2 linked regions of the Mytilus edulis genome follow. The protein of the gene in region 2 purifies or fractionates together with the protein of the main gene of each other region. This does not show direct contact. Links are inferred from orthologs where the notes say so. Each region holds a gene or a part of one and is shown on either strand. Other genes may lie near its edges.

Evidence for each region. The genes of interacting proteins can lie anywhere in the genome.
Region 1: the proteins of cytoplasmic FMR1-interacting protein 2-like (region 2) and protein BRICK1-like purify together in Drosophila melanogaster (affinity purification with western blotting; 4 studies listed by BioGRID). This does not show direct contact. The link is inferred for Mytilus edulis from reciprocal best matches to the Drosophila melanogaster genes Cyfip and HSPC300.

The regions. Positions count from the first base shown.
Region 1 is NC_092344.1:56,321,707-56,328,743, forward strand, and holds the start of protein BRICK1-like, read right to left. Parts: upstream 3,001-7,037; 5' UTR 2,965-3,000; coding exon 2,844-2,964; intron 958-2,843; coding exon 875-957; intron 1-874. Other genes in the region: protein RD3-like, read left to right, coding at 6,464-7,037.
Region 2 is NC_092351.1:9,973,764-9,981,363, forward strand, and holds the start of cytoplasmic FMR1-interacting protein 2-like, read right to left. Parts: upstream 3,013-7,600; 5' UTR 2,829-3,012; intron 1-2,828. UniProt on the Drosophila melanogaster protein: Plays a role in guidance and morphology of central and peripheral axons and in synaptic morphology. Also required for formation of cell membrane protrusions and for bristle development.

The DNA of each region.
Region 1 (7,037 bases), on a different chromosome or scaffold from region 2:
AATCATTGTTATCTATAATTTCATCCTCTGTACACTAAAATTATATCATGTTTCAAAACTATTTACATGTACATTGTACAATGATACCAGTTTGTTTTATACTATAGGACTGGTTTTTTTTCAAGTAAGATTATCAGTTTAAAATATTTTTGAACTCTTTTGTCAATAAAAATAATTTTGCTCAAGCATGTTAATGTTGCATATTTGATTAATGTTGATACCTTTTTATTTGTGTGAAATACATTGAAATACATAAATCCCAGACTAACATGACTAAGAGGCTGGTATACAATGAAAATTTGTATGACTGAGTTTGTGCAATTGGCTTAAAAACCAAGAAATCACTACTTTTCCTCCATCCATGAAGTTTGGTACATTGTATCAATGTTAATATACAAATCCACAGTATGTATTTTGTTTTACACAATGTATTTGCTTTTTTATTGATATCATCAAGTATACAATGCCATAAACCTTTTTGGGTAAGAATGTGCATGTAAATGTACATGTATTCATCTTTATTGAATTGTACCTTTTTTTCCTCATCTCAATTTGTTTTAAATTGCATTTACCAGTAATTGCTAAGAATGTCTAAGTTTAAATGACCTTAACTTTATGGGGTCACCAGTCCGGTAATATCATTGCTATACTTTATTTATCATGTACTATACATGTACATACCAAAAATATCTGTTGATCAGCTATAAAATATTTGGGACAAGATGGAAGAAAGTAATTTTTCATTGCATTTAAATTTTGCTTATTTTATGAAATATTTGGAGATTCACTTAGAACAAAAATTTCACTTAGTGAAAGAAATGAAGAAAGATTTAAAGAAAAGATGAGCTGTTTTCAATACAGAGTTTTAAATTACCCGTGCTTCTATATATTCAACTTTTCTTTCCAGCTGGGTCAACTTCTCATTCAAAGTAGCCAGTCTAGATCTACATGATGTGTCTGAAATATAAATAATGGTTATACTTTTTAGTTTAATCTTAAAATAGTGTCAGCTAAATGAAGTTAAGCTCATGCATTTAAAGCTCTTAATTGTTCGACCAAGGCCTAAATTAATATATTGTTTGTTTCCCCGATCCCGACCCTGCCAAGCCAGGTATGGGTCGGAAGGTAGGGAAATTTTTTTTATTTTTTCCAAAAAGCTTGAACAACATTGGACGATCCTGCAAGCCTGAAAATCGGAAATGAATAAAATAATATTTGACTTAAATTTGACAATAAAATTTTATGAGTAGCACTGTTTTTGCAGGGTCGGTTGGGATTGGGGAAACAAACAATATTTTATTTTAGGCCCAAAGTTAGAGTACTGCTCATCAATTTAGTATCCACATCAAATTATAAAGATTAAAAAAGTTCAGAGACATGAGAGAAGAGCAGTCCGCTTAACATATACCGCATCCATAACACTAGGTCAGTTACTAAAATGTTGACAGACATAAATTGGTTTCCACTTGAAATTAGGCGCCTAAGATACAAACTTGTTTTCTTCTACATTGTACTTAATTATATCCGATGTACAGTATACACGAAATTGTTGCATTCCCTACATCAAATTTAACCTTTTGACCCCTTTTAATAGACAATAGAACCAGATGTAGCAATCCACACTATATTCAGCAAATGCAAACATCAAAAGACAGTTATAAATAATCATTTTACCCACATACATGTACAGCTATAGATTTGAATCATTTGCCACAACAAATAGTTTTCTGCAGTACAGTATATGGAACCAAGAGAATGATCTCAGAATTTGCCTTAATCCCTATTTTCTACCCTCAACTATTATTGTTATCAAATGTACTATTATCATTATTTTGATTTTGTTTGTCTTTTTTTTCTGGTTACCTTGTATTACTTTATAATAGACCATTTTCGAGTTCATCCATCACCGGCAAAAACTCGTCAATTATGTGCGCCTTTATGACGTCATTTACCAGATAGAGGGGATCGCCTGTATCCCTGCACTATTTACGTTCATCAAGCGTCTTAGTGATCCTCGTTGTGCAGGATAAACTGGAAATAATGGTTGTTCTGTAGGTACTTAATGACAATTCCCTAATGACAGCAGTGCTGATTGTCAATTTTGAGAATTAAATTTGCTGAATAATTCGTACAATATAGAATTATAGTTTTCCAACCACTCGCTCAACATTGAAACGGAAGTGACGACGCCCCTAAACGCACAAATGACGTTCACTAAAACCAGAGTTTTTGACGGAAATGCATCGAACTCGAAAGTTTTCTATTACATTAGATGTACGTTTCATTATAACACTTTATTCTGATTGGCTAACTGCACATCACATGTTATTCCTTAAGCAATTGCATTACTCAATATTTAAAACCTATCATTCATGATAACACGTGGTCCCACAATAAAGTGCACAGGTGAATTAAATAAAACAATTATAAAATTCGTGTTTTCATGATCATTATGCTAAAAAATGTAATCATAAGTATTGAATGCTTCTTTTTGTAACTTCATAGGGTTGTAAAAGCGTTGACCGTGCGCACATTTTTAGAATGAAGCGAATCTGCGCTTCATACAAAATGTACTTATATAATTACTTGGTCAACACTTTTACACCCCAATGAAGTTACAAAAAGAAGCATTCAGTTTTTAAATATTTGACACCAGGAGATTCATCTTCAATACATGAAGGACTGCTATGAAACTTAAAGAAGAAGGATCAGTTGTCTTTGAATTCAGGAATATACGCATTATAACATGTATGTCATGTATAAATTACAAATGTATGTACAACAGCTACAGGTGCTTGATATTTTTTGTCATGTTAAAAGAATAGGTGGCTACAATGTATTACCAAACGAGTTTAAAAAGTCGGATATTTTCTTTATGCTTCCAGTTATAACTTCAATGTATTCTCTATTGGCCCAGTCTTGTTGAATGGGCCTCTGATGTTGCCCATGACCATGTTGTGCCATTGTTGACAAATAAATTTATTTCCTTGAATGCGTAAGTAAACTTAAATTTGATTGGCTATAAAAATTTGTTCGACCAATCAAAAACCGTAAGACAAATAAGTTCTATAACATCTGTCAAAATGATGAGAATTATTTTGGAATCATGAATTTAATTCTTTACCGAAATTAAGGCTTTGTACATATCTAGGTAAATATTATAAGAAAAAGGAGGAACATTTTCTGACATGATGAGTCGATAGAAAAGAGTGAAGTGTCGTACAAGTTTATAAGAATGATGAATCTGATGAAAATGCCAAATACTGGCACTTAAAAAATTATATAATTACTATGCCGTACATGTAATGTATATACTCACATGTAAACACTTTTTCAAAACAACTTATTAAAGGGATATTTGTGCTGTATATTTTTTACCAATCTCCTTCAAAATTATACCCCGAATCACAACATAATCTCACAGGGTATCAGGTCCGTTCGCGCCCAATATACTTTCGCACCCTACACGTTCGCACCTCGCACGTTGGCACCCAAGGTCCGTTCGCACTCTACACGTTTGCGCCCAAAATTATTGGAAAATCATGATTGTTGTTTTTAAATGTTTTCGTGTAAATACTGAATGTATTTATAGCTTGGTATGAGTAAAAGATTGAAGATTTTAAATGAAAAACACAAAAGATAATTGTTTTTAACAGCTTGGTCCCTTTGATCTGAAACAATGAAACAATAAAATATAGCAATACACTAACCAAAACATGATTAAGAGTTATTCAACACAAAATAAAACGTTGACAGAATCCCACTTTATTTAGAAAGGAATATTATTTTTTTTAACAATACACTATATATCCAAAACATAATTAAGATTTATTCAACACAATAAAAAATGCTGTCTCACTTTATTTTGAGACAACGAAAACAATTATACTTATAAGAATACTACTTGCCAAAACTTGATTACAAAGTTATTAAACCCAAAACCAATTAAAATTGGGCGTGAACATGTAGGATGCGAACGGACTTTGGGTGTGAACATGTAGGGTGCGAAAGTGAAAGGGGGCGAACATGAGTGGGTGCGAACATGAATGGGCGCGAACGGACCCGGATTCATCTCACAGTGGCGTAGCCAGGGTAGTCCAAATAATTATGACGTCTTGAAAGGCTATTATAATTTTTTTCTTTGACACCTTACTAAGGCGTCAAAGAAAAAAAATTATAATAGCCTTTCAAGACGTCATAATTATTTGGACTATAGCCAGGGTTGAAATGATGTGTATGTGTAACATGCTTAAAAAATTTTGGGACTGTTTTTTGCAGAAAATTTTATTATTCGGGAGATTTTTCCTGAATGCATGCATGTGTACTCCACTACAATCTGACACTAGTTGTTTTCTTGTTTAATTTCAAAATACCAACCAATATATCATGTATATGATATTTCCAATAGTTTATTTGTTTTCTCGATTATCTACCATCACTCAATTCACAAATATTTTATGTAAAAGTTTCACACCAAAAACTTATATTTGAGTGACATCTAAAAAAACAGACTCCTTTCTTCTATATATGGAACTGCGGAATATTAGAACCGGAGTGACTACCTTTTCATTGGAACTCTGTTCTTTTATTGAAAATATAATTAATACTTGTACCTAGATGGAAAAGGGTATTTATAAACCCATGAATGATTATACTCTAATACAAATAGAGTTTTTATCATGACGTCTTTGGTCTTACAGGAAACAATATCAGGATAAGATGGTGTATTTGTTAACTACATTTGTAGTAACGTTGCTATGTCATTGCTCCCCTAAGCTCAATTTCAGACCAAACATGACGCAGGTATGCGTATTCTGGCCCTCTTAGCTTGTTGCAGCCGACAACGCGCTGCGACATAGACTTTTTACGAAAACAGTCGCGAACACTTCTTCGATTTATCCATCTTGTTTACATTAACTAAATGATCCTGAAGAAAAGACCATGCATACTGCTTCGCAAATGATTGGAAGCTATTTTTATATCCTCACCCTTATTACATTCGTATACCATAGTCTGTATCCGCTGCGAACACATGCAATTATATATATATATATATTTTATTTTTTTTAGTCAAAATGATGTGGATGCTTTCAAGAGCATCTGAGCATACATGCAAGCTACGCCACTGGCACTGCATAAAACGTAACGCACAACTATTAAACAAGCCAAATCAAACAAATATTATACATTTGTACCAATTTTAAAACACTTTTTCACTAATTTCTCTCCCGGATTTGAGTGGAGTTACTGTTGTTTCTTATTAACTGTTGATGTAAATGTCCTTTAATTTTGTGAGTCTTTGTTTACTCCTTGGTTTTGATTGTTATTTTCATATTTTTTTAGCCCTGTGAGTAAAATATTTCTCCTCATTAGTGAAATATCTGTTCTCTACAAATGATGAGTCCAAATTTGATTATCACTTCAAAATTTCTTGTTTTCTTCTAATCATGAATTGTTCTATTGTGACTTAGAAAAAAGGCAGGATTGTAAAAAAAAATCACTTATATACATGTACATGTACATTTTTGACAAAAATTAAAGGGAGATAATTCAAATATTATGATTAGCTTAATGAAGTATATATTATATACTTCTTCAAGGTAATAAAAGTTATTTGTACAAGTACATGTAGTACCCATGACAGACTGTTATTTTAGTACCACAGACAAAAATTATAACACTGTCTGATCCATGTAGTAGGCTAGAAAAGGCCCTAACTAAAACAAATGTGAACATTTTAAATGAGAAAAATATAACGCTAAACTTGCAGGTATTTCTTTTTAAAGAAAAGTTAAATTGTATAATCATAAACAGTTAGAAAATGAGTTTATTAAATTAAATGTAAAGAAGACCTCAATTAGAACATTACAACACTGTTAAGATGCAACAAACAACCATAAACTTTATTTTATATTTCTATAAGTAATAATGACTCTACAGATTCATACAGCAAGATTCACATTTAACATGTTTAACAGACATCCTATAATTAAGTAAGCACCAGCAATATGTCAGATATATATCATAAAGAAAACAATTAGAAATACTTATAATCATGATTATAATGTTCTATAGAAATCTAAAAATCATAAAAACATTATTTACATACGTATATACAAAAAAAGATCTGCCAATATATAGATTTCAACATGCACATGTACATAAGTATATAGAAGTGTAAAATAGACCTACATTTTTTGCATTTCAAGTTTGATTTTTCATGAGCTGTGATGAATGCATTGCATCAATCTGTACATTTTGGCTTACATGTAAGGTGAATAGGTAAAATTACATCTTTGTACTTTAGTACTTGGAAATGTGATTCATGTACAAAAAATGTACTGTTAGCTTGGTATGGTGTCATAGGATGGCATCTATTTTCATTCTAAATTGTCAATATATTTATTTCATAAAAATAATTTATAGATCTATTCAATTTTTCAGTTCCGTTTCATATTTGAAGATGATGCCCTTAAAATCAGTATGGAAATCTCTAGTATCAAATGATCAGAGCAAACCTCCTTCCAGAAATGAGAAGTCAATTGTTGCTGATTCATTAATGTCAGAACTTGATTACAATATAAAGGAACTGGAGAAAGTCAGAATCGACAAAGAACAAGAAGAAACAAGAAAAAAGACTGGTGTAGACTATAGTTGGTTGATTACTACTCCTCCAAAAGGGTATACGATTCCCCAATTACAACGTTTAGAACTGGAGGAATTATTTTATCAAGTAAAACCAGAAGAATGTGGGAGCATTTTAGCTTTGTTTAGAGATTCACTTTTAAATGAACCCCAATCATCTGAACTTCCGTCCATATTCAGAGCTTGTGTCCAACAAATTCTACAACAAAGGCCTAAGGAACAGTCACTGACAGAATGGGTTACACAGAGAACTATGAGTTTAACCAGTTTAAAAGGTCGTCATTCAGCTCAAGTGGTGCCATCTGGTGATGCTACATGTAGAGATCCAGAGGATGTTCAAGATATACCACTATCAGAAAATACACAAAATAATGGAATAACCCAAGTTGTTC
Region 2 (7,600 bases):
TCGAAGGAATATCAATAAATGTCATCAGTTTGTGTGTTTTCCTCTTATCAAATATCTCCTGCTGGTAGTATGACTATGAACAAAAGAAACAAACATGTTAATGTAGCATTGAAATAATACTCATTATCTTTGAAATGTAATAACTGATCTTAAGTACAGTTTTGTATTCATGATATTTGAGTACATTGTATTTGCCCAATTGACTGTGAATTACAGATGCATCCTGTTGTGTTGAACTCGCTTGTGCTAAAATCTCTAATGAGTAGAACTAATTTAAAAGTCTTAGTAAAATTCTGTATGATCAATGCATTTTTACCACTGATGGGTAGAACTTGGTTGATTTGAATACTTGGTTAAATCAAGTAAATTTTATAGTCCATTTGATATAAAATTAATGTACATTGACCTGAGGTATTGAGATTCAAAAATATGAATTTTAATAAAATTTATACATTTGTGTCATTGTAGTTTCATAGAAGCAAAAGGGTATATACAGTTTGGGATCACCAGTCTGTCCTGCTTTTTTTAGGGTGCCAACATGATATACTTTATATTGTAATGCAACCTTGTCGCTAATTCATGAGACCCAAAAATAGGGGCGTCCAACAGGTCAGGAATAACCACCAATTGGTGGATTATACCTCAATTGACGTATAATCCACCAATTAAGGTATATTATAATTGGTAAGGACCAATTGACGTATAATGCAAATTTTTTGTAATAAAATACTAGTGTGAGATAGGAGCATGATTTTGCAACTTGCAACCTATTTTATGACCCTTATTGAGTCCTTCAAATTAAGTTTTGTCAAAGCCTTCTGCATCTCTTGAGAATGCATGTGTACAACAATTCTTTTGTTGAAACATTTGTACTACATGTATTGACCATGATTGACTTTTGATAATTGAATTCAAGTATTAACAAGTCAGGGGACTTACTTAAATGAGTGATTTTCTAAATCACTGATTCAAGTAACATTATTTCCATAAAGGTTGAAAGTAAGAGTTGTCTTTCTTTAATAATCACCTATTTAAGTAGTACAAAATAATCACTAGAAGAAGTGATTTAATTTTACTGTAGCTTTAAATATAGAATACTAATGGTCCAGGGACTAATTATGTTTCTAAACTTATCAGAACTAACATCCATGTTGTCTAGGATGACTAGGTCATTTCAGGTGATGACCTTGTACTGAATCGAGGATAATGACATAAAACTCACTTGTTTAAGTATCATACCTCAATTTCCTTCCCAAAAATCACTCCTTTAAGAATCATTATTTTAATAACCCCCACTAATTTCAACACCCCGAACAGTGAAATTTTTATGGTGAACAGTAAAATTTTATGACATAATCTGAAAGATGAAACCTTGAACTTTACAGGAAAAATACTCCCACTGCTGGGAAAAATCTGTTAAGAAAGTATCAGTTCATTATGTAAAGCCATTATTATAGCATTTTTTCAACTAAAATAGAATTTGCAGCTAAATGATAGCATCAAAGGCATAAACCTTGATACTTAAAAGAAGCAAAAATTCACTTTTTTCAATTTTACTAATGAAAAGATATTTTTTAAACATAATGGGTTTAAAATTTTGGTAAAACTACAAAATCACAATTTGTGACAAAACTTTGAATTTGCTACTCAAATAAGTGATTTAACTGACTGAACAAAGAGCTCCATTCACCTGAGGAGTTGTACTCATGATCACATGACCATGATGACTGCAGACAGTAAATGATGTCCATACACCTTATCGCTATTTGTCCGCCATTACTGGATATCACACAGGTTCCCGTAAAATGTTGACATGACAATACAAAATATATGACACCACAATCATGACAATGGAAAAGTGATTGTTGTGTGCGTCAAAAGTTCAAGCGGCTGGGTCAGCCGGAGATAGCGATAAGGTGTATTGACAGGTGATTACACTTTACAGGTAAATATGCCAATCAAGAATTGACAAGATACATTTGTACATGTAACAATAGAAGAAACTGAAAATACAATTATTGATTAAATGCAATATGTTATGTCACTATATATACTAAACTAGGAATGTTTGACAAGTTTTCATACCATAATATGATTTCAAGAAAACAATGCTTCATTTGGGTAGAATAATTTGTTTTGAAGAACAAAGAATTATACACCAATACACCTTATCGCTATTTGTCCGCCATTACTAGATATCACACAGGTTCCCGTAAAATTTTGACGTCACAATACAAAATATCTGACGCCACAATGGAAAAGTGATTGTTGTATGCGTCTAAAAGCTGCGGCTGGGTCGGCAAGGATTAGCGATAAGGTGTATTGGTCTATACCATTAATGTCAATTGGTGGATTATATGTCAATTGAGGTATAATCCACCAATTGATGGTTATTCCTGACCTGTCCAAAATAGAACATCAACAATAAGTAAGGAAGTAAGTAAGTAATGACTTTATTTAAAGGGGGTAACTCAATTAGCTAAGCTTTCACTAAATTATCTACCTTGTTGCCCTTGAGAAATTATAACAATTCTATCTGAGAATTAATCTGGATCTCATAGATCTGGTTCCTACCTTGCATTAACCTACTAACGGTTACGTTCAGTGACAGATACATGTGAGCCTACCCGAAATTATATTGTTCCTCAAAGAAAAATCTCGCTCTTCCTCCTATAAACTATAAAAGAGGAAGAGCTAGAGTTCGACAGGATTGATATTTGATACTACTTTTTGAATGCAAAATGTCGACTTGACTGCAAGTGCACAATCTATATAAATAATGTTTTACATGTCCCTGTTTTGCTTATGTCGTTCATCCGATTAATTACCTTTAAACTTCACATAATAAGGAAATGTCAGTTTTCATTTTTTATCATTTTTGATAACTTCCGGATTTACTTGACCATAGGGGGCGCTGCGAACAAAAGCAACTGACTGGTTACCTGCGGCTATTGACTGATCTTCTTTGAGATTTGAACAATAGGTAGTCAGTTTATTTCCCATTGAAAAACTAATTTCCCTACCATATTCGGAAGTGCAACGATTACCGTATTTGTACTCATGCAAATGACATGGCGCTGTAAAAATAACATTAATAATTTGATCATAACTTAATACTTCAATTATTTCTTTACTCATTCTAATTTAGAAACAAATAGTTTTCCATGTGTGCAGGGGCGGATGCAGGAATTTTCGAAAGGGGGGGTGTTAACCCAGGGCACCCAGGGCAAAGGGGGGGGTGCAAAACATATGTCCCGATACAAATGCATTGATCGGCAAAAATAAAGGGGGGGTGCGCACCCCCGGAACCCCCCCCCCTGGATCCGCCACTGGTGTGCATACAGTAAATTTCTGAGTTTTGTTGAAAAAAAAGTAACAAAAATTTAAGGCAACAGGAAAAGATGGTATCTATCTCTTCAAAAGTACTAAAATTATCTTATTTGAATTATCCAATCCAATTTCTAAACTACTGAATAAATCATTTGAATCGGCTGTTTTACCAGATAAATTAAAAGAAGAACAAGAAATACCGACTCTACATAAAAAATACACTCTTGATAAAGGAAACTAAAGACCTTAAATTGAATATTGGAAAAGGTTTAAGATCAGAATAAATATGTAGTGCTGACTCTCAGCTATATAAATAAACGTTTTTACACTTTTGGTATTTAGCTGAATCTTGCCTCCGCGAATGACCTTAAATCTACTCCGAATCACCTTTTGACGTTGAGCAACAATCACTTTTAAATTGTGACGTCAAATAATTTTAAATTATGATGTCAAAGTTTACGGGAACCTGTGTGATTTTACGCAATGGCGGACAAATTTGCATACAAGTGTAAATACGTCTATTTATAGACTTGTCCAAGGCTTTTGACTGCCTACACCATGACCTCCTCCTACTAATATTAAATCCTATGGTGTTTCCACCTACTCTCTTAAACTTTTGGAAAGCTATTTAACTAACAGAAAACAGTGTGTTAAAGGAGGTACTAATTTAAGCTACTGACAAACAATGTTTAAAAGGTGCCACAAGGTTCGATATTAAGGCCTACATTATTTTTCAAATTTTAAATGACATTTCTTTATTTTATTCATAAAAGTGAACTCTATAATCATGCAGATGACAACCCCCTTTCATATGCAGATAAAGATTTAGATAAATTAACTAATACCAAGGAATTGTATATTTAAATATACAATTCCTTGCTAATACTTCAGAAGATGTGGAAAGCAAAAATTTTGATAAATTGGTTCTCAATATACAATAAAATAAAATGAAAGCTAATCCAGAAAAATGTCAAGCAATACCTGTAGGTAAAAAAACTAAAGACAAAAACCTAAATTTGAATTAGAAGGTAATGAAATAGAATGTGAAGATAACGTTAAACTTCTAGGTGTAATAATAGGTTTTAAACTAAATTTCAATGAACATCATAATCTTTCAGTCAGTTTAATTGAAGTCTGGAGCTGGCATGTCAGTTAACTGCTAGTAGACCTTTTTAACATCTCTCGACACCTACAGTTGAGAACGACTACGACAGGTAAAATGTGAAGGGTAGTCTCAAAAATAAAAAAATAAATGAGATCATTATTAATTTTATTGCTTTCAATCATTGACAATGATAAAACTTTCATACAGAGTCCAAATGACATGATTTTGTTTTAATTTGTTATAAAGAAAATGATAGACTTTAAGTCACATTTCATCTTTTAGACATTTAGCTTCTAGCTGTCCTGGTTGAATTTGGAAAACGAAAAGAACAAATCATGTTCTATTGTAGTTGATATTTTAAAATTAAACAATGATTATGTTGGTTTACAAGGGCGGCACATGTCTGTTAGTTTTGGCCTTGTATGCCTCAATAATGTACTCAATACTTTGTATCATTTCAATTCACCAATTTGGTGTTCCACTTGAATTCTGTATTCACCAGTCACTGCTTAAATGTTGTAGCATTGAAACGAGGGGTCTTTTATATTTTTTTTCAAAATTCATCTAGGAAAAACTTTACCTCGAACAAGATATCTTGAAGCGGAGAAGACCGTCGTTGATAATAATAATAATAAAAAAAAACGTGATCTTTTCCTTTGACCTAAAAAATCAATATGTAATTATGTAAAAATTGAAAATGTACATCGACTGAGGTGAAGATCGGTGGAAAAACACAAAGTTGAGCGTGTTCACAAGTGTGATACGGACGGACCAGTATTCTTTTTCATTTTTGAAAAACATCATGAAAGCTTTTACACCAACAAATTAAATCGTTATTGGCATGCGGCAAATATTTGGCGAAAGACTCACATCATCACAAAAGTGAAGAGAAAATGGGTTAGGATTCTGAATGATTGGAATATTTGTTTAATCAATTCAACATGAAATGTCGTGCAAATACATACGAAATAAGAATATTATATGACAGAGACATATGTGTGGTAGACGTTTCCCCTTTCGGGAAAATCCAGAAATCGAGAAAGGGAAATCAAGAAATTGAGTAATCGGGAAATCGAGAAATAGAGAAAGCAAAAACGCAAAATTGAGAATTCATTTCGCGTTTTAGCGTTTTCGTGTTTCCTCTTTCGTGTTTTGGCGTTTTTGCCTTCTTGATTTCTCGATTTTTCGATTTCCCGATCTTATATATTTCCAATTTCTGGATTCCCTATTTCTCGATTTTCCGATTTCCCGATTTTCTCAATTTCTCGATTTCTCGAATTCCCAATTTCGCGTTTGCAAAATGAACGGAGAATTCACGAAAACGCGAAAAGGCGAAATAAATGGCCGCATCCGGCCACCATACATATATTTATTTATTTATTTATTTGGTTGATATATATTCTTAAACTATAATAGTCAAAACAGTATAAAACCGCCAATCCAATATGTTACGTGATGATAATCATGATGATTTTTGTCTTTGAGACGACCCATCCATTTTACCTGTAAACTGTAGGTGTCATTAGTCGATGTCGAGAGATGTTGAAAAGGTTTACTAGTCTGTTGTTATTTATGTATTATTGTCATTTTGTTTATTTTCTTTGGTTACATCTTCTGACATCAGACTCGGACTTCTCTTGAACTGAATTTTAATGTGCGTATTGTTATGCTTTTACTTTTCTACACTGGTTAGAGGTATAGGGGGAGGGTTGAGATCTCACAAACATGTTTAACCCCGCCGCATTTTTTGCGCCTGTCCCAAGTCAGGAGCCTCTGGCCTTTGTTAGTCTTGTATTATTTAAATTTTAGTTTCTTGTGTACAATTTGGAAATAAGTATGGCGTTCATTATCACTGAACTAGTATATATTTGTTTAGGGGCCAGCTGAAGGACGCCTCCGGGTGCGGGAATTTCTCGCTACATTGAAGACCTGTTGGTGACCTTCTGCTGTTGTGTTTTTTTATTTTGGTCGGGTTGTTGTCTCTTTGACACATTCCCCATTTCCATTCTCAATTTTATGTCTCTATAATATGTAAAAAAGCATCCAAAGAAACAATTAAATGTATTAAAAAGAATAGATAAACACCTCAGTGACTAAACTCGGAAAATTACCAATTTATTATTCTTTCATAATGTCCAATTTTAATTACTGCCCACTAGTTTGTCAGTTTGTGGGGAGGTTAATACAAATTGATAGAGAAAATTCAAGAGAGAGCAATAAGTTTTATCTTTGAAGACTATTCAGCAAGTTATGAAGATCTACTCTGCAAATCAAAATTACCATCTTTAAAAATAAGAAGAATGCGATCTTAGGCTATTGAAGTTTTCAAAATTGTTAATAAAGATGGTCCTGTACATATCTCCATAATTTAATACACTCGAAAGAAAACACTTACTCTTTCAGATACCAGAATACAGCCGATCTACCACATGTAAGAACTTCTGCATATGGCCTACAATCTTTAAGGTATGCGGGTGCTAAGCTTTGGAATGAGCTGCCAGATGAGCTTCGATAGCAATCATCTTTAACTCAATTCTAGAACTTCATAGGCGGATCAGGGGGCCCCCTTTCGTAGAAAAATTTAGTTTGATTATATAGGGAATCACTGAAGCATGACTGATTTGGGCCCCCTTAGGTCATTCAGCACCCCCCTCCTTATGAAAAGTTCCGCCACTGAACTTGATAAGTTCTTGGTCTGTATTGCAGCTCATGCCAATGTTTTGCCTGCAAAACCAGTTAATATCTGTTCATTATTTTTATTTTCAGCATGACAAACTTTTTTTGTTATCTTCAATATAGTGCTTCTGCTGCTTTGTGCTAATTTTACTAAATAACTAATCTATATGTGCTTTTAATGTTCTTTTTATGAGCAAACCATTTTGTTTTTGATTTTGTGTTTTTATCTCATAATTGTATGTACCAGTATGACTGTGTTTAACTTTTAAGATGCTTAAGGTGGTATAGGAGTCTACAATAAAAATGATAGAATTTGTTCATACTTTGCCAAAACGTAGTATCTATTGATATATGTTGAAAAATATAATAAAAATGATAGGTCACCGTGCATTTTCTCAAGCTACAGGACGTGACAAAATAACACATTTTGTATGGATTATACAGGAAAAAACACCATTTTGTGATTAGAAACTAAACAAAATGATAGAA